Arabidopsis thaliana: one gene and its partners. The protein of the gene in region 3 interacts with the protein of the main gene of each other region in a pairwise test. Each region holds a gene or a part of one and is shown on either strand. Other genes may lie near its edges.

Evidence for each region. Proteins that work in one complex are often made in the same cells at the same time.
Region 1: the proteins of AT2G03640 (region 3) and AT3G13990 interact in a two-hybrid assay, tested with the Arabidopsis thaliana proteins (one large-scale study listed by BioGRID).
Region 2: the proteins of AT2G03640 (region 3) and GIP1 interact in a two-hybrid assay, tested with the Arabidopsis thaliana proteins (one large-scale study listed by BioGRID).

What each region holds. Positions count from the first base shown.
Region 1 is NC_003074.8:4,623,924-4,633,488, forward strand, and holds AT3G13990 (dentin sialophosphoprotein, putative (DUF1296)), read right to left. Parts: upstream 6,691-9,565; 5' UTR 6,461-6,690; coding exon 6,283-6,460; intron 5,914-6,282; coding exon 5,870-5,913; intron 5,496-5,869; coding exon 5,324-5,495; intron 4,985-5,323; coding exon 4,852-4,984; intron 4,446-4,851; coding exon 3,919-4,445; intron 3,718-3,918; coding exon 3,378-3,717; intron 3,281-3,377; coding exon 3,019-3,280; intron 2,939-3,018; coding exon 2,843-2,938; intron 2,677-2,842; coding exon 2,215-2,676; intron 2,118-2,214; coding exon 1,785-2,117; 3' UTR 1,460-1,784; downstream 1-1,459. Other genes in the region: ATBRXL2 (DZC (Disease resistance/zinc finger/chromosome condensation-like region) domain containing protein), read right to left, coding at 7,247-7,325, 7,409-7,800, 7,898-8,033, 8,718-9,097, 9,293-9,430.
Region 2 is NC_003074.8:4,249,499-4,256,903, forward strand, and holds GIP1 (GBF-interacting protein 1), read right to left. Parts: upstream 4,781-7,405; 5' UTR 4,709-4,780; coding exon 4,531-4,708; intron 4,075-4,530; coding exon 4,031-4,074; intron 3,913-4,030; coding exon 3,846-3,912; intron 3,766-3,845; coding exon 3,639-3,765; intron 3,558-3,638; coding exon 3,304-3,557; intron 3,175-3,303; coding exon 2,934-3,174; intron 2,804-2,933; coding exon 2,641-2,803; intron 2,494-2,640; coding exon 2,086-2,493; intron 2,011-2,085; coding exon 1,789-2,010; 3' UTR 1,460-1,788; downstream 1-1,459. Other genes in the region: ABCG26 (ABC-2 type transporter family protein), read right to left, coding at 1-15, 102-285, 418-573, 639-928, 1,008-1,205; AT3G13224 (RNA-binding (RRM/RBD/RNP motifs) family protein), read left to right, coding at 5,350-5,405, 5,547-5,587, 5,723-5,886, 5,988-6,093, 6,188-6,357, 6,584-7,123. UniProt on the Arabidopsis thaliana protein: Plant specific protein that enhances G-box-binding factor (GBF) DNA binding activity. May function as a nuclear chaperone or lever and regulate the multimeric state of GBFs. May contribute to bZIP-mediated gene regulation.
Region 3 is NC_003071.7:1,103,119-1,110,080, forward strand, and holds AT2G03640 (Nuclear transport factor 2 (NTF2) family protein with RNA binding (RRM-RBD-RNP motifs) domain-containing protein), read right to left. Parts: upstream 3,750-6,962; 5' UTR 3,612-3,749; exon of another isoform or gene 3,314-3,611; 5' UTR 3,301-3,313; coding exon 3,121-3,300; intron 3,034-3,120; coding exon 2,748-3,033; intron 2,660-2,747; coding exon of another isoform or gene 2,657-2,659; coding exon 2,460-2,656; intron 2,385-2,459; coding exon 2,234-2,384; intron 2,139-2,233; coding exon 2,017-2,138; intron 1,917-2,016; coding exon 1,851-1,916; intron 1,767-1,850; coding exon 1,407-1,766; 3' UTR 1,196-1,406; downstream 1-1,195. Other genes in the region: AT2G03630 (suppressor SRP40-like protein), read left to right, coding at 87-841, 935-1,112.

The sequences.
Region 1 (9,565 bases), on a different chromosome or scaffold from region 3:
GTGTGGATATGATAAACAAAAGAAAGACAAAAGATTCCGATCACATCATAATTGAGTTGGTGCATGCAATAGCAAAAGCAGATTCCATTTCAATCAAATAGCTAAAGAGCACACTCGTCCAAACTCTTTATGAGAAACGTTTGATTTTAATATTTTCCCTCTAACAGCCCAACAAACAAGAATATATACTTACTATTATGATACCATACAACAATGTTGTTGGTGTATATATCAGTCAGTGTATGGATATCTATAAATCACTCCATTATCTCTGATTTGACATGTCAGGTTCACAGTGACATACAACGTTTCAAACTTTTCATCGTTCATAGAAAACAATTTCCTACTATAAAAATTACGTGTCGAATTTACGCAAAATTTAGATGATTTGTAGGGAGAAATTCAAATCTTTATGATTCAATATTAACAAACCAGCCTTGATTTAACAGAAGTAGTAAGGAGTTAGGGGTCATGCTTGTAAATCTCTAAAACCGATCATGGGACCTTTTGACTTATTGAGGATAAGTAAACATAATTGATTTTCAATTAAATTTTGCTAATTCTTCTTATTTTCTTATAATCTTTCTACGAGATATATAGAATAGGGTCAAAAAGAGCTAACATTTCACATCATTATCCCTCTAACATGCGGGTTATCTTAAGTTATGAAGTATGAACCCTAAGCCTCTACTCTACTCTAGCTATAGTCTCAATCAAAAATTACTTTTTTAATTACAAAATCTCCTCAATCATTTTCAGTACCATTTTAAATCACAAAGAACAAATTTATAGAATTTTCAGAGAATCTCAAGCCAATCCTTACTTGTGCGGTAGGTGTTATCAATAGTGAAATTACGTTTAATAAAACCTAGACCGGTCAAAATGGGACAAATTAATAGAGTATTAGTGACTCAACATCATGGAGTCTCAAGAGATTCGTAGAGAGTAATCATTTCTCAATAAGGTAGGACTTAGGAGGCCTATTAAATCAGAGAAGGAATCAAAGTCCGTACCAATTAGGCTCTAAGTAAACTCTAGTTGGCTCCTTGATTAAGACCCACCTCCCCAAACTAAGTATATTTACTTTTCTAAATATGTCAACAAAACGATCAATTAGATTCTTTTGTTATGATGACACAGTGTGCTATGACACCTAAAAACTAAAGTAATCAAGGAGATAATCAAAACCTATAGGCCTGAGCTTCAACTAGTTCTCCGATTAAGAATATTTGTAATCTATTCTAAAGGCTAGAGGAAAGTTAGGTCAAGCTCAACAACTAATGATTCTCTATCAAGAATTTAATAAGGAATATGAGGAAATGGAGAGAGAAGACACATAACTCAAAGAAGAACATTGAACAGCTAAACAAAACACACAATTCTCTTTAATACTTGTAGAACATTGACAATGGGAAACACTAGCACCAAGCAACAATGTTTCACTCACAGGGTTCCACACTTAAAAACCTTCACATGCATTGTAGGGTTCTTGAAGTCGACCGAAACTATAATAGCAGTAAATGATTAAGAAGCACGGACAGGACTTTACCTTGACAATTTGACGCCATGGGAGAATAACACCATACCTGCAGCTGTAAATAATGAGGGGCTATGGAAGCAGACAAAGCATTTATAGACAAATTGTTGAGAGCTGGGAACATTTTATGCATTGAATAAATAAAGATTAATTAAAACAGAGTTTGGCGTTTCATAAGGAGAATCAAAATATTTGCTTTTGGCTATTATATAATCCATTAGACAAGAAGACAAAGGTTAGATTTTCTTCAGAAGTTTGATGGCCAATTCGGATGACCAAGTTGTGATTGCTGATAGGTACCAATTTGAGACGGAGGAGGAGAGGGAACGACACCGACTCCAACATTACCACTGAGGCCAGGTCCCATGTGGTGCGGATTCGCCATCGTACCAGGCTGTGACGGGTGGAAGAGACCCTGGAACTGCATGTGAGATGATTGCGCAGTTGGGTTGAACGATTGGTGTGCTGTATGGGATGATAAATAAGCACCATGAGGCGATTGTCCAGCTACGTTGTAATATGGAGACTGAAGGCTTGAAAGATCTCTTGGATTTTGCATCCATATCTCAGAAGTCTCAGCCTGTAGTGTTAGATAAGGAGACATGAATCAGAATAAAAAATAATTGGTAAAAACATAAAGTTCGGGCACAACTACCATACTTATCAATTATCATTACCTGAGGATTTGGAACGTAAATATTTCCATGTTTATTTATCATGCGAGATGGATCTTCAAGTCCCGTAGCGTTTCCAACTACATTGGGAGGATTAGTTGGATACCCATTAGGATTGTTGTAAGTCCCAAAACCCGCAGGTCCACCAGTTGGAACTGGTTTATATTGCTGATGGATTCCATACTTGACACCATTTGAACCGAGATGAGAACCGCCTCCAGGCATCAGCACATAGCTATTGCCATTTGAAGGGTGTGCATATGCTGCTGGGTTACCTGAGTAGCCTGGCATGGGCATTTGGGGAACATAGACTGGGGAAAGGAATTGACGATAAGGCATGAGATTGGGAAAATGCGAAACATGGACCTGCGGATACATCTGTTGCATTGATGCCTGCTGTTGTTGCTGTAACATGGGAATAGTGGATGGTGGGGCATTATTTAACATGTGAGCACTTAATCCCTGCTGCATTATCAAAAGGATACTTGATCAGTTTTTCCTAGTTAATAAAACAAAAAAGATAACTATGACACATGCACAAACCAACTGCTCAAACAGGAGCTAACTAGACTCTTACGCATCAACTCATGCTGGCAAACTAGTAACAACTAACAACAGAAACATAAATTACCTCGTGTGGAGATGGTAATCCTTGAACTCGTACAGTTTCATCCATTGCAGGACTAAAGTACGGAAATTCATAACTACCATGATTGTCATAAGCCTGCTGGAAAGGAAGAGCATGTCATTTTTGAATGAATTTATCTTTCCTTGATTTTTAAGAGTTAAAATTGCAAGAACCCTTACAGAAAATTTTTGCAACTCCGGAGGATCTTGCTGCTGTTCAAACTCCAAAGGAGTATAAGGTGGACCATTCCTATTGAGTAATTCAATCCCCGAGTACGCATCCAAATTGTCAGATCTATGAGTTTCTTTCTGTTCGGGTAACTGTGGCTCAGATACTGCCGAGACGGGTGAGTCAGATCTAGAAACTCTGACATGATCATCAATAGTGATAGGCAGAACGCCCGGACCATCTGCTGAAGCCTCAGGACAAGTAACTGGCGAACTGTCAACAATATCACCAAGTTAATTGGGGAAGATGCATGTGATCTCAAACTATATTCAAATGTACAAAAAAAAACCCACCAACTGTCAGAACTTACCTACGATCAGATTCTCTAACTTCTTCTGAAGAGTGTGATTCTTCGAAAGCAGATTCTGAATTCCTTGAGGAATTAAACTCTTGAACAAAGCTACCAAAAGTTAGCTGACAGCGGTCAGTCTCCGGGACACGAATATGATCTGCGATGATGACATTCTGACTTTCACTTATATGAACATGTGAAAGCTTATTCTGCAACTTGACGGCTTCTGTTTCCACATTTATGGAATTATCAGCAGGACGACGAGCTTGAGACTTTGTAGGTGTTCCAATTACTCCAGGGTTATGTCCAACAGGTTTCTGATTAGATTTAGGCTTCCACTCCTTGTTCTGTGAGGCTCCTGCAATAAGTACAGGTTGATCAAGAATATCAGAAGTCATGACAGGAAATGGCTTCTCACCAGGAATTCCCAATAGATTGAAAGAAGGGATTATATTACTCAAAGCAGAAGCTACACAGAAAATAAAGTGTCGCCTAGCAGAAATCAAATAAGAAATTGCACAACATCCATTCGGTTAATAAATATTTGCATATAAGTTACCCTTTGTATGGCCACCAACTTGTTGTGTTCTAGCATATTGGCTTCCTCTATTCCCACGCTGTCTGTTCAAATATGACCTATTCTTTTCCACTCCACTGGGCATAACAGACTCACGTGCAGTAGTTCGACTGTGATCAATCTTTGAAGTTGGGGAAGATGGTCGATGTGCATTTGGAGGTCCATTTTTTCTAATAGAGGACCCTGAAAAAGAGGGCACAGATGGATCTTTACCAACATTTTCAGAAGGTTTTCCACCTAAACCTCCACCCCTTACTTCACGTTTAATAGCTCCCACGGGTGATGATCTAGAAACAGGAGAAGGTACATGAACTGGATCTTTGGAAGACGAATATACACCAAGAACTGAATTGGTTGATGGCAAAGTAACTCCACCGAGTTCTTTATTGACAGGACAATGCAAAGGACGAATTTCAGCCTGTCTGAGCCTGGCATCTGCTGGAGCATTACACTCGTCAGTTGAATCTTGAGCCCCAGAAGAGTTACGATTGCCCAAACCACCTCTTGAGCTGGCAAACAGTTAAAATAGAGCGAAAATTTTATTTTCTTATTTAAATTCAGCATAGTTTTCTTGAAATTATGAGACAAGAAGTCCTTGTTGGGCTAGCAAAGGAATGCCTACCAAGTGAACATACACACTCCTATCTCCGTCTACCAAAACCCAATGGCAGTATGGCACAAAACTAATCTATGCTTCTTATTGTCTTAAAGAGTTCATTGACAAAAAAAAAAAAAAAAAAAAAGAGTCCTACTTTACTATTTTTTGGAAAAGTACAGCTAAAGCAAATTAACTCCCTTAAAATATTTTTACAAGAGTAACAAATCATTCTATTTCACATGTATAAAAGAAGGCAAGTTAGTGATAAAAATGCTAGAATAAGAACAATAGGATAAATTACAACTGATGATACATACCCCAATTTGTTCACAGTGGCAACCACTTTGTTAATATTTGATCCAGAGGACTGGGCAGAAGAATGCTTCAACTCTTCATCAACATTTGGATTAGACCTGTTGTCCCTAACAACGCGAAACTCTTTGTTGGATCCTGCACTAACATGAAACGAACAAATTACAAACAGACAGAAAAACATTTCTAGGTGAATATGGTCAATACATTACATAAAACTTGAAGGCCTCACGCCAATGGCCAATAACAAAGATTAAAAAAAAAAAACAAATCAACGCAAAACAATTTCTTCTACGTTTCCTTTGCTTGCCTGCATATATTTTTCTGGATTTAACCAAGTTCATTTGATACTGCCGTTATATAGATTATGTTTACGAACCATTCAAAAGACAGCTTAAAACAAATTAAAGATTTTTAGTACAACTGTACAAGCATGCGAAAGAAACTGGCAAGTATATCATCATCAAATTGATTTACCAGTAGCAGGATTTCTAGGAGATGCATTTCGTTGAGCAGCGTTCCTGGGGAAGAAATTCCTACTGTAGCCTCCTCTCCGAACATTATGTTCAGGCTGTGTACGAACTTTCACTTCACTGGTAACATTTTCAAGAGGTTTCTTTATGTTGGCAGGCTCAACAAATACTGTATCCTGAAACCAAAGGAACGCCCTAAAAATCAGAGGTTATACAAGAGGTGTCTTGATGATCTCTACAAATTCATCAAACTATTTGAATGGCTAGAAAAGTTGAAATTTTTTTTGACGATCAATTAAATTAGAAGGCACACAAAATACTAAACAAAACAAAAAAAAAATATAGCTTGCCACAGCAGACATCCGATGAGATATAATAGTCACACAAGCACAACTAACATTATGAAAAATCTAGTCACCTTCTTCAAATGCAGTTTCGAAAAGACTAAGGAGAGTCAAACAAAAAAACTACAATGTGGTTGCATTGGCAAAAATGTTAAAAAGGAGAAGAACTGGGAACAAGATACCATAACAGTTATATGTAACCTCACCTCTTTTTTCCTGTCTCTTTTTCTCTTCACCTCGTGAAATGGATCTGAACAAAACAAAAGCTTTTTAGCGAACCAAAACTATGATGGCAACAATAACACACATATTAGTCACCCAACGAAACGAGAGCCAAGAAAAGAAGACCAATAATATTTCAAGTATATAGTAATTGAAGTATTCTGAAGAGAATTGACAAATTATCGAAATGAAAACAAGAGTTATCCATCTATCGAATTATCAACAGAACTCCATCAAACGAAATTTGCATAACCTATCTACAGCATTCTACATACGCCTCAAACAAGATGTTGTAGCATTCATCGTGATCAAGATAATGCGGACCAGAGAACAAACAGTAAAACCCTAACTTCCGTCAAACTAGGAAAGCAGAAAAAGAGATGAAGAGAGAAGAAACCTTGATGAATCAGCTTCTCCACAGCCTCGTTAGCATCCATGTTAGCTTCTTTTAAGGCAGTGTAAATATCAGCATCGGAGTGACTATCCACAACTTCCTTAATCGATTGAATCATCTTTTTCGCTTCATCATCGAGTCCTACCCCACGATTACCGCTAGTTCTGGACCCAGTCACCATTACGGATCAAAGACGTATCGAATAAACCGAAACACACAAAAAACAAAGAAATTCAAGGATCGAGTAGCGAAACCAAGTGAGATCAGCGTAATCAAGGTAGATGCTAATGATTCGACTCTTAAACCCTAAAATCGGATAGAGCAACTACTAGGGTTTCGAGTACAGAGAAGAGGGAACGGCTTTAAGAGAACAAAAAAAAAAAAGAAGTTAGGATTTATTCTCACGCGTCGAAAAAATTGGTTCCAAATTCACTAATTGGATAAACCTAATTGACTATTTTACCCTTAATATAACTCAATAGAAAGATTAGTCAAAGGAGAAGTGAGAAATGGAAATTTCTAAGGAGATACAAGTTAGCTGGCAATTTAACTGGTTTTTACTTTATACATTTCTTATTCAGAACATTTAAGTACATGCCATAATTATTAGCACCAATCATGGTCAATATAATTAGAGAAAAAGTAATAAAGTGCACAAAGTGTAATTTTCAAATCCAATAATATGAATTTTCTTAGTATTAAACTATATACAGTACATTACCTTAAGAAAATAACACCAAGAAAATCCAGTAAAACTAATACCTCCTCTTTATAGATAGATGTAGATGAGAAAGAAGAGAAAGAGATGTACTAACAACCACCAACTAAAAAGCACATTCATTATCTGAATCCCAAGTTATTTCCATCACTCTGTAGCTTTTTTCCAAGTAAAACATATAAAAGAAAAGTGTTTTGTTTTGGTGTGTGTCAGATTCTTCTCTAGAGAGCCTTCGACCGTCATCGGTCATCACAAGTATTGTTGTTGTATCCGAGCTCTGTTCTGCTCCCACCACAATCTTGCATTCGTTTCCCCAAACTTCTCTCGGCTACAACCACAAAGACAATGTTGTTAAAGTGCTTGCTTTTGAAAGGGTTTTACTAAGGAACAGAGAAAGTAATGTATCTTTACCTGAAGCGAACACGCCTAAGCTCGCGAGTCCCATCTGGTAAAGCTCTGATTGTGATGTAAACACCTGCTTCGTCCTGTTCCACCCATTCTGTTTCAATGTCACTTGCATTACTTACAGATAGCTCCTCCCCTGAATGATCTGCTTCTTCTTCTTCCCTTGAGAAGCTACTTCTTGCAGACTCATCAACAGATGATGTCTCGGTTTTTGTCCCACTTATGCTAGAGAGTTTTGGTGTTGTAGCAAGACCAGATGAATCATGGTGTCGACTTTGTGTTTGGGTTGTTGGTTGGTGAGCGAGTGAGCCAGAAGAAGCGTAGCCTTTTCCTCGAGAGCATTCTTTGTTCAGAGGTGGAGTTGCAGGACCATTCTTGGTAGACTGAATTCGCGAGCTCTGGTATACCAAATTAAAACTAGTTAGACCTCAAAGTATCAAAGACAGGTTTTGATGAGTAGATTCATGTGTTCAGAAGTGAAGAGGGTGCATATACCCCATCTTCAGATCTAGGAGGAGTTGGAAGTGGGACGCTCTGCTGATTGAACTGCTGTACATTGTATAATTCCATGACCTTGTCGAAATTCTCCGCCCACCACTTTTGAGCTTGCCATTTATCGAACATTTCACGGCTGCAAGTAATACAAATTTGAAGAAATCAACAAATTAGGAGCTGACTTAACCATATACAATACAGAACCAAAGAGCTACCAGGTTAACAGTCTTAGGTTCACAAAACTCAAGGGATCTGCAGTAAATTGTCAAAACTAGAATCTAGAAATATCAATCCTAGGGAGCTGAAGTGTTCCTCTTGCCATGAAGAAAGTTAGTTAGATCATCTTGCTCTCATTATATGTTCCACATACAAAAAGAACTTTACGAAATTCACAAACACTTCCCCACACAATTGTCCTTGGGGAATTCATTTAAGTTCTCCATCGGATTCAACTACCGAAATATAACCCACATCTCAAAGACCTTTCTTGGCAAAAAGGATGTACAAGTTCTCATAATTATAAGAAATGGTTTGGGACCACTTCAATCGATTCAAGAAAAATGAAAGCAGCAACAGTTTCCAACACAGAAATCTCACATAATAATATCCTAAATATCAACTGTACTCTCACATTGCTTGTCTCCAAGAACCACACATCTCTACTTCCAAAATCAAATTAAACAATTTCAAAACAGTATGGATTAGTTCATTTGAGTATCATCTTCAATATTCCTGATTGGAAACATATTGTACCATCTTGATTAAGTCCAATATCCAAACTTTTACTTAGTGTAAATCCTACAAAACAGTTAAAAATTACCTGAACCGAATCCGCTTCATATCATTCCCTCCCTCAGGCAATGATACAAATGTGATGAGGACACCAGGCTCCACTTGAGCAACCCATTCCTTGAGCTCATCTTCTTCCTCCATGAACACTGTAGACTCTGTCCTACCACTCATGGATTCAGGTGTTCCTTCTCCACTCAAAAAACCTTTCAACCTTGACTCCATTTCCTTCCCCAAAATCTTCGGTGTTGAGCTTCCACTCCCCGCTCTCTTGTACGCATAACGAAACCTCCCAGAATTCGAAGCAACATCCGAATCAGCGTAGCTTCGGTTCTTATTCTGATTAGACGACCCAGAACACGGTTTGCAGCTTTTGTAAGCACCTGATGCTTTTACTGCCATGTCTTTAATCTGAAGATTCACATACAAGAATCACATGTTATTCACAAAATTAAATACACAGTGAAAAACATTCTGAAAGTCACGGACTTAAATTGATTTGTTCTTAGCTTCCAAACAGAAACCAACAAGAGCAAAAAATGGTCCTTTTCTCATTTGTGTTTTTTTTTCGTGAAAGTGACACAGAGGAAGAATGTTTATCTCTACCTGTGACGTCAGGGACTTAATCTGCTTAGACCTGGGTGTTTCAATAACTCTGTCTTCTTCTTCTTCATCCTCTTCTTGTTTCTTAGATCCACCATTGTTGGTGTTTAGCTGCTTCGTACAAGCTATGCATGTCAGCATCTCTATCACTCACTAAAGAGTTTCAATTTCGACCTGAGAATTTAGAAGAATGAAACCCAAGTCACTTCCTCCACCAAAAATAATCAAATCTAAGAAATGAGAACCCAAAAAGGCTCATAATTTGTACCTTTTTTT
Region 2 (7,405 bases), on a different chromosome or scaffold from region 3:
AACGGTCCTGCCTGCCTGAAAAAGACAAACTGAATCTTATTCTACTGTATCTTTCAAGAACTTTGTTAGTAATCTATTTGCATGTAACTAGAAACTGATACCTTAGCTACTCCTTGAAGAATATGAAGAAGTTTGGTGGCAGAAGTGGAGTCAAGTCCAGAAGTTGGCTCGTCTAGAAGCAACAGAGAAGGATCTACGAGAATCTCATAAGCTATACTTGCTCTTTTTCTTTCTCCACCTGATATTCCCTTGACAAAACCTCCTCCAACTCTTGTCCGACGGCATCTTTCATTGTGTTTTTCAATAAATCTTAGTTTAGTGTTTACAAGAAATGTGTCTGGACATCACCAAGAACATGCTTGAAGAAAGTCTACGAGCTAGGTCTCACTATAAGCTGGAAATATTCAAGAAGTGTACCTTTCGAGGCCGAGCTCTTTGATGATCATCTCTATTTTGGCGTATTTTTGTTCCTTGCTCATGCTACTTGGAAGTCTTAAAAACGCAGCAAATGCCAAGGTCTCTTCCACAGTAAGTTGTGGCAACAGAACATCGTCTTGCGTCACAAAGCCAATTCTGGAAAACAGGGAAAGATCAGCACATAATAGTATGATTCAGGTAGGAGAAAATATCCAACTCACCTCCTCTTAACAGATGGACTGTAAGGAATGTCATTATAGGTAAGCTTCCCCTTGACATTATCTGTCAATCTTCCTCCCATTATCTTCAGAAGAGTTGTTTTGCCACTACCCGAAGGCCCCATTAGCGCAAGGATTTCGCCAGGACCTGTGCTTCCTGTTATGCCTTTCAAAATGTGCTTGTATCCATCTGGATCCGGATTTGTATGTGTTACCACCTTTGACACCATTGTTTTCACCAGGTTTGCTGAGCTAGCATGACTGTTTCTCACCTTATACTCCACATCTTCAAACTGCATATAAATAAAAGAGGCGAAACCAATAAGCTTTGTCTTAATGAAGGAAAATCGAAAGCAAAAGAGAAAGTTGAACCTTGAGAAAGATGGGAAGAGGGGCATCTTCGAGAGGATAAGTGGAAACGAACTCTTCATCAATGTCAATCTCGGATGAGTATTGGTTTCTGAGGTAAGCTTGTGGCATGAACTCCATGTTGTGAACTATGCCATTGCTTCCTGTAATCTGCATTACATGATTCTCTTCAACTTCTTCTGTTGATCTTCTGATCTCCATGTTATCTTTCTTATTCTTGTTCCACAAGAAAATTGTTATGAATGTAGGCTTGTGTTATATAACGGAAGAAGTGTGTGGATCAACTGTGTCAAACCTGAAACTTTCTTGCTTTTTGTGTTCTCTTTTTCTCTCTGTTTATCAGGGTGTTAGTTTGGTAGACCACATTCTTTCAATGTTTTTGTATTAAATTGAATGCATTTGTTGACTTGAACAAGGAGCAAATGAAACTATATTAATTTCAATATACTTTATATGGTACTAAAATCATTTACATTTATCGACTTGGCTTGCTCATTGACGATCACAACGTACGAGAATAAATGTCCACTTGCTCATATAAACTGATCACTTGATTATATTGTAAGATTCGGAAGAATTACAGATAAACGAGATCAAAGCGGTTTGTGGCACTCACAAAAATTGAAAAAACAAAAGGCACCAATTCTCTTGTCCCCTTGCCAAATACTAATCTTCTTCTTGGGGGGTGATGTATCCTAAGTATGTACACAAAATCACTCAAAATTCCAGACTTAAACATCTCGTACCAATCTGAATATGCATCTTTCTAGTAATACTCCTTGACCTAGTAGTTGTTTCCCAGATTTGTTCGTGCAGCTTGAGGTTGCTGATTAGTTACGTGCGATGGTCCTATGGGTTCAGTCCTCGCAGATATAGATAGAGGCGCCAGTATTGGCTGTGTTTGTTGATATAACCCACGGATCCCAGCCTGCATGGTTGGGAAAGCTATAGGCTGACCTTGAAGGGATAAGTTGTACATGGGACTGGCCTGCAGATTGGCTAGACTCTGCTACATGGAGCCGTGTTAAAAAACTATAGCATAACATGCAATGACAGTGGGGAGAGTCAGAGAAAAACTAACCAGTGGTCCAGTTGTGTACATGTTTTCCTTCTTTTCTTCCTTGTGAGTAGCATTTATGGTGGCTGCTGATGGGATGTGGTTGAAGGCGTATGAAGTATATGAGAATGGAATCGTGGTAGGTGGAGAGTTTCCAATGTCGCTTCCGGGTTTGATGTGAGTGAGAGGTAGTTCAGCCCCTGGAGGTGCTGGAGCATCATCTCCGGGTGGTAAGTAAGACTGTTGTTGGAACCCATTTGGGCTCAAGTACTGGTGAATGTATGGTTGCGGCATATAATAAGGGGGGAAATATGGACCATAAGGGAAATAGTTAAGAGAGTATTGTTGCCTATAAAGGTGCATTGCCTGTTGAGCGGCTGCTAAGGAATACTGATCAGGATAGGAGATAGGTGGAGCATCACACTTTGCAGCCTGCAATTATCAACAAAATATAAAAGACAGTGATTAAGCATTGTGTTCATATTTCCTGGCTAGAAAAACCACGCGGTTGGCCTGATGCTGACAATGAATGCACAAGACTAAAAAGACATTGTGTGGGGCTTCTTGATAATAACCAACCTGATGAGTGTCTGTGATTGGTAAAACCTCGTTCTTTACTTTATCTCCTTCTGAACCTTCTTCAGGGAGAACAGTTTGATCTGGCTGCAATGTTAACTCGTTCTGAGCTGCTGAATTTGAAATCTCATGATTCTTATCCTGAGAAAAAGTTGATATATCTTTCCTGCAAACCAAGTTTCATATAAAGGTATTCATATCAGAAACTCATTCATCTGAGACTCTAGATCAATTCATGAGAATATTGAAGCAAGTAACACTGTAAGATTTACTCAAAGTAGCTATTAGTCACCAACCTAGCTGATGCGGCTGTCCCATGAGAAGACTCAATATTGGAGTCATCACACCCAATAGTAAACTTGTCAGAAGATGCCTCTCTCACAAAATTAGAATCGAAGCTCCCAAATGTCAGACCATTTTCCAGCATTTTGGCAACCTGAATGTGGACAGGAAATGTTACGTGCGGCCGTTCACCAACATCCGACTTGAGAAGCGACTCATTCTTGCATTTACTGGCTGCAACCTCACTCTTAATGACTGTTCCAAATAAAGCCATACGTCGAATCACATAAGAGGCTGTAATCAAACTCAGGAACAACTTAACAGAATACAGAATGCACTTAAAGCAACATTAGCAGGCAAGTAATTATATGGTATAATTTATACCTCGCTCGGACTGTTGTGGGATCTGAAAAGTTTCAACTACAGCATATTGAGTATCGTTTTCTACAACAGAATCTGATACAGCCACTGATACACTACTTTCTTTAGACTTATCCGGCTCAACAACATCCTTAGAAGAAGAAGTAGCCTTGGAGAGAGGCTGTTCCTCTGTGTCCACCTTGTCCACAGGGGATATGATAGCATCTTGAATTTTCTGGTTACTGATTCCACTTGGAAGACTTATAGGGTTCGGGGCCCTGAAAAAGAATAGAATGCGTTAGGAAGCCCATATCCAAAGAGGGAATTAAAGACATAGACAGAATTAAAAGTATGGATACATTATGGAAGAAGGTTTTGTGTCGTTTCTTGCATTGTTAGGAGCAGACGAAGCAGTTCCAGAACCTCCTATTATGTGATTAGCTCCACTCTGCTTTTTAAAAGCTGCACTTCTTCCATTACTGGCATCTGAATCAACAAAGAGCTTGAATCAAGGAAGGAAATATAGAACACAAGTTTAGAAGTAAAAGAACATAAACCACAATGACCTGTGTAACTTGAAGCAAAGTTCTTCCGTCCAGTCCGGCCCCTTCCTTGTGTATTTGGCACTAAATTCTACAACAGGTAATACACATAAAGGCATAAGAGAAACGAGATGATGTAAGCTAAACAGAGAACTCAAGACCACACTTAAAATGCAAAGTAAGGATTCAAAAGAACATAGGAAAGCTACCTCTTTCTTTCTCTCCCGTTTGCTTCTCACCTCATGAAATGTATCTGAAAGATCAGTAATAATATATGAGTACATGTCTGCTATCAAAGTACATGATTATGTTGATCTTGAAACAGTAGACAGAATCAAAACTTAACCCAGATGCCCAATCTCAATCAAAGCTAAACAGAAATTCCCTTTCCACATTCCAGCTAGATTGGTAAAGATTTAAAACGACAGTTTCTTAGTCATGAACCCAAATTCTACATATTCCATTTCAGTAAAAAAGATTCCTTATTTGAACATCCCCAGACATATTATACCAATTAGAAATCTAAATAAACAAAACATAAGATTCTAAGCATAACACACAGATTCTAAGACAAGACCAAAATCGACAAAGGGCATTAAATAGCAAAATCCAAAACAAAACCCTAGGAGAAGCACACGCTCAATACAACAAAAAGGAAGTAAAAACACTAAAACAAAAACAAATGCTGAAGCTTTCTCAGTAAAACAACCTAAATAGAGAAGCTTCTGAGTGGTCTCATGTGGATCACTGAAACACTCCTTAAAGACAGAGAAGATATCCTCGTCGGAATGTTGTTTACCGGTAACCTCTCTGATGTTTTGAATGGTTTGAAGCAGATCAGCCGGAATAGAAACCCTAGAGCCGCCATCGCCGCTGATCCTGCTCATGTTGGTTACAGAGAGAAAGAGAAGCGGAGGGAGGAGGAGAGAGGAAATATGGGTTGAACATAAAGACTTCGTATATAGTACTATTATTTATTTCCGTACAATCTACCGCTTAATGTCTCTCTCTACGTATATTTATACGCTGACGTCACTGTTTATCAATTTCCTCCTCATTATTTGATTGAGTACTATTATTTATTTCCGTACAATCTACCGCTTAATGTCTCTCTCTACGTATATTTATACGCTGACGTCACTGTTTATCGATTTCCTCCTCATTATTTGATTGTTTTGTACGCGTTTAATGGAAGGAGAGACAACAAAGTTGATATGGCCGAGTTGGTCTAAGGCGCCAGATTAAGGTTCTGGTCCGAAAGGGCGTGGGTTCAAATCCCACTGTCAACAATTTACTTTTTTTTTTTTTGTCTTTTTACAAGAATAGGAAAAATAGACAGCTGTGTAAAAAAATATTAACTTTGTTTTGTTTCCACAAGTCGATGTCCAAATTTAAGAATATATATATATTACACGATTTAGCTATCTCCTCTAATTAGATGAAGAGACATCAGATCTTATCAAAACCCTAGCTTTCGGTGTCTCTCTCGATCCTTTAGCTCAATCGAAAACTGAATTTAGGAGCTGCGATGGGTTCCAGATCTCGTAATGATAATTTCCAGTCCGGCGATGGCGCTAGTCCTGGGTACGTTTACTTCTCCTACCTCTTGCATGTTTGATTCCACAGGATTAAGGGAAATATCTCATAATCTGTTGGCTTTGTAACTCTTTTTATATTGTTGGTTAAGGTTTAATTTATGTTTTGCTTGGAATTTTTGTGTTGCAGGAAAATATTCATTGGAGGATTGCACAAAGACACGACTAATAGTAAGTTTCTTCCTCTTGTTTTGTTCTAGAAATTGCGTTTCTAAGTTTTGTTATGTTATGGATTCTTGTGTGTGTTTCTGATGTTAGACCTGTTGGAATGTTGATTCTACTTGCTCACTTTGGTTTTGATTGCAGCTGTGTTCAATAAGCACTTTGGCAAGTACGGGGAGATTACAGATTCTGTCATTATGCGAGATCGACATACTGGACAACCTAGGGGTTTCGGTTTCATCACCTTCGCTGACCCTTCTGTTGTTGACAAAGTTATCGAAGATACTCATGTCATCAATGGCAAACAGGTCGGCCACTTCTCTTTTCTTCCTTCACTAGCTTATAGTGTTCATTTTTAGTAGGGTGTTGGGTCTTGATCAATACTTTTTTCCTTGTTTTGATGGAACAGGTTGAGATCAAAAGGACTATTCCGAAAGGTGCTGGTGGCAATCAGTCAAAGGACATCAAAACAAAGAAGATTTTCGTTGGTGGTATACCCTCAACGGTTACAGAAGGTAGACCTCCCTCTTGGCATGATATTTTTTTGCTTTCCATGAGAATGCTGGTTTCCTGTCCTTATTGAAGTTGGTTTCTTTTTCTGTTGATCAGATGAACTTAAGGACTTCTTTGCCAAGTATGGGAACGTGGTGGAGCACCAGGTTATTCGAGACCATGAAACAAACAGGTCCAGAGGTTTTGGTTTTGTAATTTTTGATAGCGAAGAAGTCGTAGATGAATTATTGTCCAAAGGAAACATGATCGATATGGCAGACACTCAGGTAAGCTTGTACAAATGGGGATTAGAATTTTGGTTCATGATGACATATTTATCTTGGTTTCAATTTGATATTTTCTCCTTGTTCCTTTCATTATACACGTTTAACTTAGTTAGAATTCTACCCACTAGCTTACCAAATGTAAGGAGCTTGTCACAGTAAGATAGGAAATCCCTGCTATAGTTTGGGTCCTTAGCATAGCTAGGTTAATTAAGTTGCTTTGTTGTAGGTGGAGATCAAGAAAGCTGAACCAAAGAAATCTCTAAACCGTTCACCTCCTTCTTACGGTAGTCACCCTAGAGGTCGTTCTTCTAACGATAGTTATGCAAGTTATGGTGGACCTTACGGAGGTTTTGATGGAGGGTATGGTCATCCTCCAGGTCCCATTAGGTCACATGGAGGTCCTGCTAGTAGATATGCTGGGGGATATGGGTATGGTCGTGGCAGTGTAGGCCCTGAATTTGGAGGAGGTTATAATAATTATGGGGGTGGTAGTTTAGGAGGTTACCGGAATGAACCACCCCTTGGCTATTCTAGTCGTTTTGGACCCTATGGGAGTGGGTTTGGTGGTGAGGGATATGGCCGTGGAGGAGAAGGAGCCTATTTGGGATATCCTCGTGGAGGAGGGGAAGGCTATGGGGGATATGGTGGGCCTGGTTACGGCGGTGCATATGAATCTGGTGGCCCAGGTGGCAGTTATGAAGGAGCAGGTGGTCCATATGGGAGGGGTTATAGTAGCAGTAGTCGATACCATCCGTATGCAAGGTAGGGTCGAGGTAATAGCAATCAGTTGGAGCTATAGAAGCTTCTCTCACAGGTTCCTCTAGATTGTTCCAATTGCTCTAGGTGCATTCTAGAGTTATCATGTAGCGCCAACATCAGGAAGGGTTGCTAAGGACAGGAAGAGCATCAAAAAGCTTTTATTAGTCATCTTTTAGTTGTGTGTTTACCTAATTTAAGTGTTGTCTTATCTCTATAACTTAGATTGTGTTATGTAGACTTTAGCATATTTGGGCTTGGAGTTTGTTTCTCACTGGCACAAGAATGATTT
Region 3 (6,962 bases):
AGGTATGTTTTTTGATGTTATATTTGTTCGAATAGCCCGAGAAATTGCTTAAAATGATGCATTGATGATTGCTTCTCCAGGTGTTTATGGAGTCTAAACATGAAGAACATGTGTTATCCAAACAAAAACATGATCAAGATGTAAACAAAAAAGGTTCATTAGACGACGAAAATGGAGATGTTGAGCATAAAACGATACCTTTACAAGAAACAGAAACTGTAATTATTAACTCAGAATCACATTCAAGATTATCGTCGTCTTCGTCATCTTCGTCTTCTTCTTCTTCGTATTTATCGCCACCGAAAGATCTACCTGAAGAGGTACTAAAAGAATCATTGAATGATCCGGAGATTTCTTCACCACCTGTTCAAGTAATGGATAGAGATAACAACGGAAAATATGACCCGAATAGGATTCCATCTTCGGTTTTCGAGAGAAGCAAATCGAATGTGCCAGCTGAATGGAGCTGCACTTCGAATGAATCTCTCTTCAGTATTCATTTAGGAAACAATAGTTTCACTGGTTATGGTGGTGATTTGATGAAATCAGGTGAACTTTATAAATCCGGTGAGTTACTTGCGTATAGTCCTGGACTTCCTATGCCGCCTGTACCAGGATCGGAACCAAAACCCGTAGTCGAAGAACCGAAAGTTGTTGAATCAGATAAGGAAGAGAAAGTTGTACTAGTAGAAGAAACACATACATCATCATCAGATGAAGAAGAAGGGAAAAGAGAAAGCCATGAGAAAGAACAACATCCTGCTGTTTCTTGGAAAACTCCTACAACTTCTTACCGTTCTAACCGAAGCTCAAACAGCGCGCACTCCTTCTCTTTCCCAATGTAAATACACTCCATCCATGACCATGGCTGACAAACATTTCCTCCCCTCGGTTTTAATGAAAGTTTCTTGCTTTGCTTTTTTGGTTTTTACAGTTTGGCTGGAGCTGCAAGTGATTCAAGAAAGGTAGAAACGGAGAAACAGAAGGAACAAGCAAATCAGTCACAAGAGTCACAAAAACCAGTAGCAGATGCAACAAATCAGAAGCAGTCAATGTGTAGGTGCTTCTCATGTTTTCCTCAATGTCCGTGGTGTTGTTCTTCTTGTTCTTGATTCTGTTTTGATGTTTGATTAGACAAAAACAAAAGTTGTGGAGTTTATCTCCTGTAAAGAAAGTATGTAGGTCATTAGAACCTTAAATCAATTCGATTTTGTTCTCTGCTTTGTTCATGAGAAGATACAGAGATCAAAGAGTGAAGAAAAATGTTCTAGATTTATCCCCAAACAATATCACAAATCGAAAAGATCAACACCTAAGATATCCACGGAAACAAAAATTTGTTTTAACATCGCCTACAACCTCAGATTCTCAACCATGAGCAAAGCTTAGAAGAAGAAAAAACTAATCTAGTTTTTGGCCTCAGTATTGCCATGGCCATTGTTCTGGTATGCTTTACCATCCCCATTAGACTCACTGTTCCGTCTCCCATAGCCTCGTCCTCCATTGACGCCACTGCCCCTAGGTTTGTATCCATCACGTCTGAAACCATCCTCATTTTTATAACCACTGTTGTTTCTTGTAGAGACTCTGTTGCCATTTTGATTGTTACCTCCTGCATAATCCAGAAAAAGTAAGATTAGGATTTTGTTTTTACATTTAATTAAAGTTACAATCTTTGAGACAACAATGCCTTTCAGAAACTTGCCTCGCTTTTCTTCTATAGATGCTCTTCGGTTTCCGATTCTGATTGGTGATTCCCTGTGAGCCTAGAGTTGTGCATTTGGAGATCAGATAACAAGAACTTCAAATTACATTATAGCCGAGAGTTTGATATGCAAACAAAAACATACCTGAAAGACATTTTTTACTGCTTCACCATTTTCGAATGCCACAAACCCAATACAGTTCTTTTTTTCCTGAAAATTCACAGATTTTTAAGCGTGTGATTGAACCAGTTATAAGGTTTTTCAAACTTTGCAAATAATTTTTTTGTAGATCATTGAAAGAATAACTAACCGGGTAACTTCTGACTTGGATACCATCCTTTCTAATAGCTCCAAAACTTTTAAATGTTTCATAAAGTTGCTCAATAGTCGCATCCATAGGCAAGTTTGCAACAAATATGGAACTACCCTGAGCTGATACGTGAAAAACAAATAATCAAATGAGACAAAAGCAAGTAGAAGAATTTTCAAATTCATTGTTTTTAACTATTAAACAATGAATAACCAACCTTGTGGTTTAATGCTTTCAGCAGAAGCCTGTTTACGAATTGGGGAAGGAGCTTTGCGCTCCGGAGCAGCAACCGGTTTTTCGACAGGTTTACGCTTGACCGGCGAGGCTTTAACCTGTAAAGTACCAGCGCTTTGAGCCAGAGATTGAACCTGTAAGTTTGAAATCACACCAACAGATTAGAGGATATTATACGATAAAAACTAAGCACAAAGGAGGAGACTTACAATTAATGCAAACGATTTCTTGGGAACCTCCTCTTGAAGTTTTGCTTCAGCAGCTTTAGGTAAGCTACTGTTTTCATTCACAACTTTCTCCTCAGGGACTTTCGCATGTCCGTTTGGTATGGCACTTGCTGGCTTCGTCACCGTAGTTTTAGCTTCAGTAGGGACAATAACCGCCTCTACACTTTCATTTGCAGGCTCTGCTAATCAAAACCATTACCACATGAATCAAAACAATGTCAAGGTGGTGAATATTTTCAGATTCTTGAAACCATTGGTAAAACGACTTACCAGTGATAGCATTTGTTGACTGACTCTCCTCAACCTCCTTGGTAGCTTCTGGTTCAACAAACTCATCAGACACATACCTAAAGGTATCATTCAGCACAAAGTAGCTTCCATTCCGCGACACAAGAAAGAAACTCTGAGAAAATTTCCTCCTTCCTCCATCGTTCCCGATCACTAAACCCGTGACTAGAGTTACAACACCATTCTTTAAAGTTGATTGAGAATCAGCAGTTAGAATCTCGATCCTTGAGCTTTTGTAGTCAATGGACATTATCTGATCATTAATCCCCTGCAAACACGATGAAACATTCGTCGAATCAATACTAACAACAATAATTCAATGAGACATACTATGAAAGTGGCTAAAGGAACTTACTTTCAAGGATTTGATAGTAACTATCTCACCATCGAGACCAGGCCGTGAAATCATACTATCCTCGAGATAGAATTTGTGTACTTCCGAGGTTGAATCATAAAGGTGGTTATAGTATTCTTGAACAAACCCATTGCCTACAAATTGTGGATCTACTGAGGGAGCGTTTGATTCAGGTGTCATCTCTGCAATTTCTCTAAGACAGTCTCAAGCAAAATCGAATCAAACAAAAATTCACAAGAGCTCCAATCTGCATAACTTAGAATTGTACTATGTGGATCTAACTTTATAGTACGAAATCTATTAGCTTATTGTAATTGCAAGTACACATAGTTGGTTTCTCCAGATATTATATATGTAAGGTTTGAACTGAACTTCCATAGATCTATAACTAGTCGAGTTTGAGAAATTGAAAGGTATAAACTTTGCTCCAATACAAAGATGGATTGAGAGATTGGAAAATAAGGTATGAAGTATGAAGCAGAAGCAATTACCTGATAAATTGGAGAAGACAGGAGAATCAATCGCAATTAGAGTGAAGGAGAGAAGGAAGGTGAAGAAACGAGTTTACTTGTGGTGTTTATATATGGCTTCTAGGGTTTTTTTTACAGACAAACTCCGACCAGAATTGGGAATTTGGTTTTGGCCTCTCTTTTTTTTTGCTTATGCTTTTTTTTTGTTTTTTTTGCAACTTTTTGGATATTTTTTCAATAATATTTTGTCACGTAATCATATCCTGTTTACAATTTAGTGAGGATTTTTATTTGATTTGATTAGTTGTTCTTCTAATTTCCAAATCCTAATTAGTTTTTTTTTATTATTATTATTATTGGTTTGGGATTTTTGAATATTGTTCATAAATAATAACAAATATTATTTTGGTTTCGGAAAAAGAACAAGATGATTGGATGGATTTGGATTTAGTTTTGGACTAATATCATAGAATTTTATAGGTCTTTGATTTTGATTCGAACGGTTAATTTGGTTTTGGTTACTTGATTTTTCGGGGTTTTTGGAAAATAAAGCATTTCCTAAAACGAATTGACTAATAATTCGCTTTGTTCAGTTCGAACATGGTTTATTCAATTTTTTTGGTCTGATCACTAATCAACCAAACAACAAGTTAACAACAATGACGCATAAATTATGAATACAAAAACAACTCGGTAGCAAACCTTAATCATCATGATTCATGATACAAAAAATACATAAGTTGTTCTAAAAGAACATGTCACTTGACAAATGACAAAGTACCAATAATCCATTTTGCCTCAGTTCTTATAAGTGTATTTGGTATGTTGTCACTATTTTGTAGACGCTAAAAGAGAAAGAGTTTGTTGTACAAAATATATAAACAGAAAATATATATGGCTTCTAAGATTTTTTTATAAAGACAAACTCCGACCAGAATTGAGAATTTGGTTTTGGCCTTTTTTCTTATTCTTTTTTTTTTGCAATTTTTTGGATATCTTTTCAATAATATTTTGTCACGTAATCATATTATGTACACCATGTTTACAATTTAGTGAGGATTTTAATTTGATTTGATTAATTCTTTTTTTATTTCCAAATCATAATTAGTTTTTTTCTTCTTTTTATTGATTTGGGACTTTTGAATATTGTTCACAAACAATAACAAATAATTTATCGGTTTCAAAAACGAAAAAAAATGATTGGATGGATTTGGATTAATAACATAAAATTTTATAGGCATGCAATTTTGATCCGAAAAAGTTAATTCTGTTTCCGTTACTTGATTTTTGTTTTTTTTGGAAAATGAACTTTTTCTAAAACGAACCGATTAATAATTCGCTTTGGTTCAGTTCAAACATGGTTTATTCAGTTTTTTTGGTCTGATCACTAAACGAATGTAAAATCAACCAAACAAAAAGACGCATCAATTATTAATACAACAACAACTTAGTAGCGAACCTTAATCATCGTGATATATACAAAAGATACATAAGTTGTTCCAAAAAACATGTAACTTGACACAAATGACAAACTACCAATGATCCATTCTGCCTAAGTTCTTACAGGTCCATTTGGTATGTTGTCATTGTTTTGTCGATGCCAAAAGAGAAAGAGTTAGTTATACAAAATAAATAAAGAGAAAAGACAAGCCTTTAAGCCGCTTAAAAATCTTAATGCATTTGTCACCTTGTCTGTTGTGAAAGAAAATAAAAATATATTACTGATTAAAAGAAAAGGCTCTCACAGGTAAATGAATGACAAAAAAATATATCAAATATACCTCAATTTTCAACTCCACGTCAATGAGCAACTAATGATTGTGTATGAGTACTCTCAGAAGCTACACAAGGCAAATAAAATGTAGTTGAGTCTATAGATATAAAAATAACAACAAAAAAAAACTGAAAGATAGAGAGAAAATGAGTACTTAAAGACTCATAAAACTTTAATTCTTCGAACATCTGAATCAGGTTTGCTAACTTCTCAACTAATGATATTCATGAGCCATTGCTGAATGCAAATCAATGATTCAACCATGAGTGGTGACAAGCAACTTCAGAAAGGATCCAAAATACGACCACTAGTGTTGAATGCAGACTCTAAATTGAGAAAGGAGACATGTATGACAAGCACATCTCTTGTTAATTCTGCAAAGATTGCAATTTAGAACTATTCCTCCTCCACCATCTTAAGACATCATAATCCAATCTCAAACCACTTGTAATTCTTAGCACATATTTTTCAAGCAGGTAAATGTCAAGTTCCTTACTAGATTCTATATTTGTAGTCTCTGCTACCATCTTAGTGTACAAAGAGTCCATCATCTCATAACCATCATCATTAGATTATACCAAATAGAGGATGTCACTTATTTAAATGTTGAAGAGGAAAGAATGCAATTAAAAAAGATTTTCAGAAACTTAACTAACATTTGCACTTCATCCCAGCTAACTAGCAGAAGATGGAGGACCAACATGTTTGCCATCATTATCATCATCAGCATCATCATCTTCATTCTTTTCTATAACTTATCTTCAGCCAACATCTTATCAAATGCACCTCTAAACGTGATTGCAACTGTGAGCATAAGATAAGTCGAATTCCACCTAGTAACAACATCTAGACATAAGTTTTATTTACTTACATTTCATGCCTCAACCCTAGATTTAAAGATTTGAGTCTTTCACTCGATGACCTCACATACTTGATTGCATTTTGGATAGCCATTATATTATGATTAGCTTTACATATCCCATCTTTGACTATCAGGTTTAAAATATGAGCGCACCAACGCATATGAATATACTCACCACTTTGAACTAATGCATCTAGAACTCTCACCATCAAATCCTCTGTGAATAACCGTAAAGCTTTGCCATTTCCCTTTGCATTTATCTACACTCATTGTGAAGACTTTCTTGATGCCCAATTCATCTAGACAGCCAATCAAAAGTGATGCAATGATATATCATTTGTGATCAATGACATGCTTGAAGCTAATGATCCATTTCTGTAATTTCCAATATTTATCAATCTAGTAAGCTGTCACCACCATGTAACTACAAGAAGTTGTGGTAGCTACCCAATATCTGTTACCAATGACACTCTCTGTTTATCCTTATCAAACAACTTCTTCAAAGAATTTTTCTCTTGGAAAAACATTCCATAACAATCTGAAGTGGATGTCTTCCTACAATGAACCATGTACATGAGAGATTGTTGGCACAAAATCTCCTAAACCTTTCAAATTCCACAAATGAAAAAGGTAACTCATTAAGCATTATCATCTCATTCACAGATCTTCTAAACAACCCTTTATCATACTTGATTGTTATCATTACACCACTGTTATCTCGAGCTAAAACTTTTTG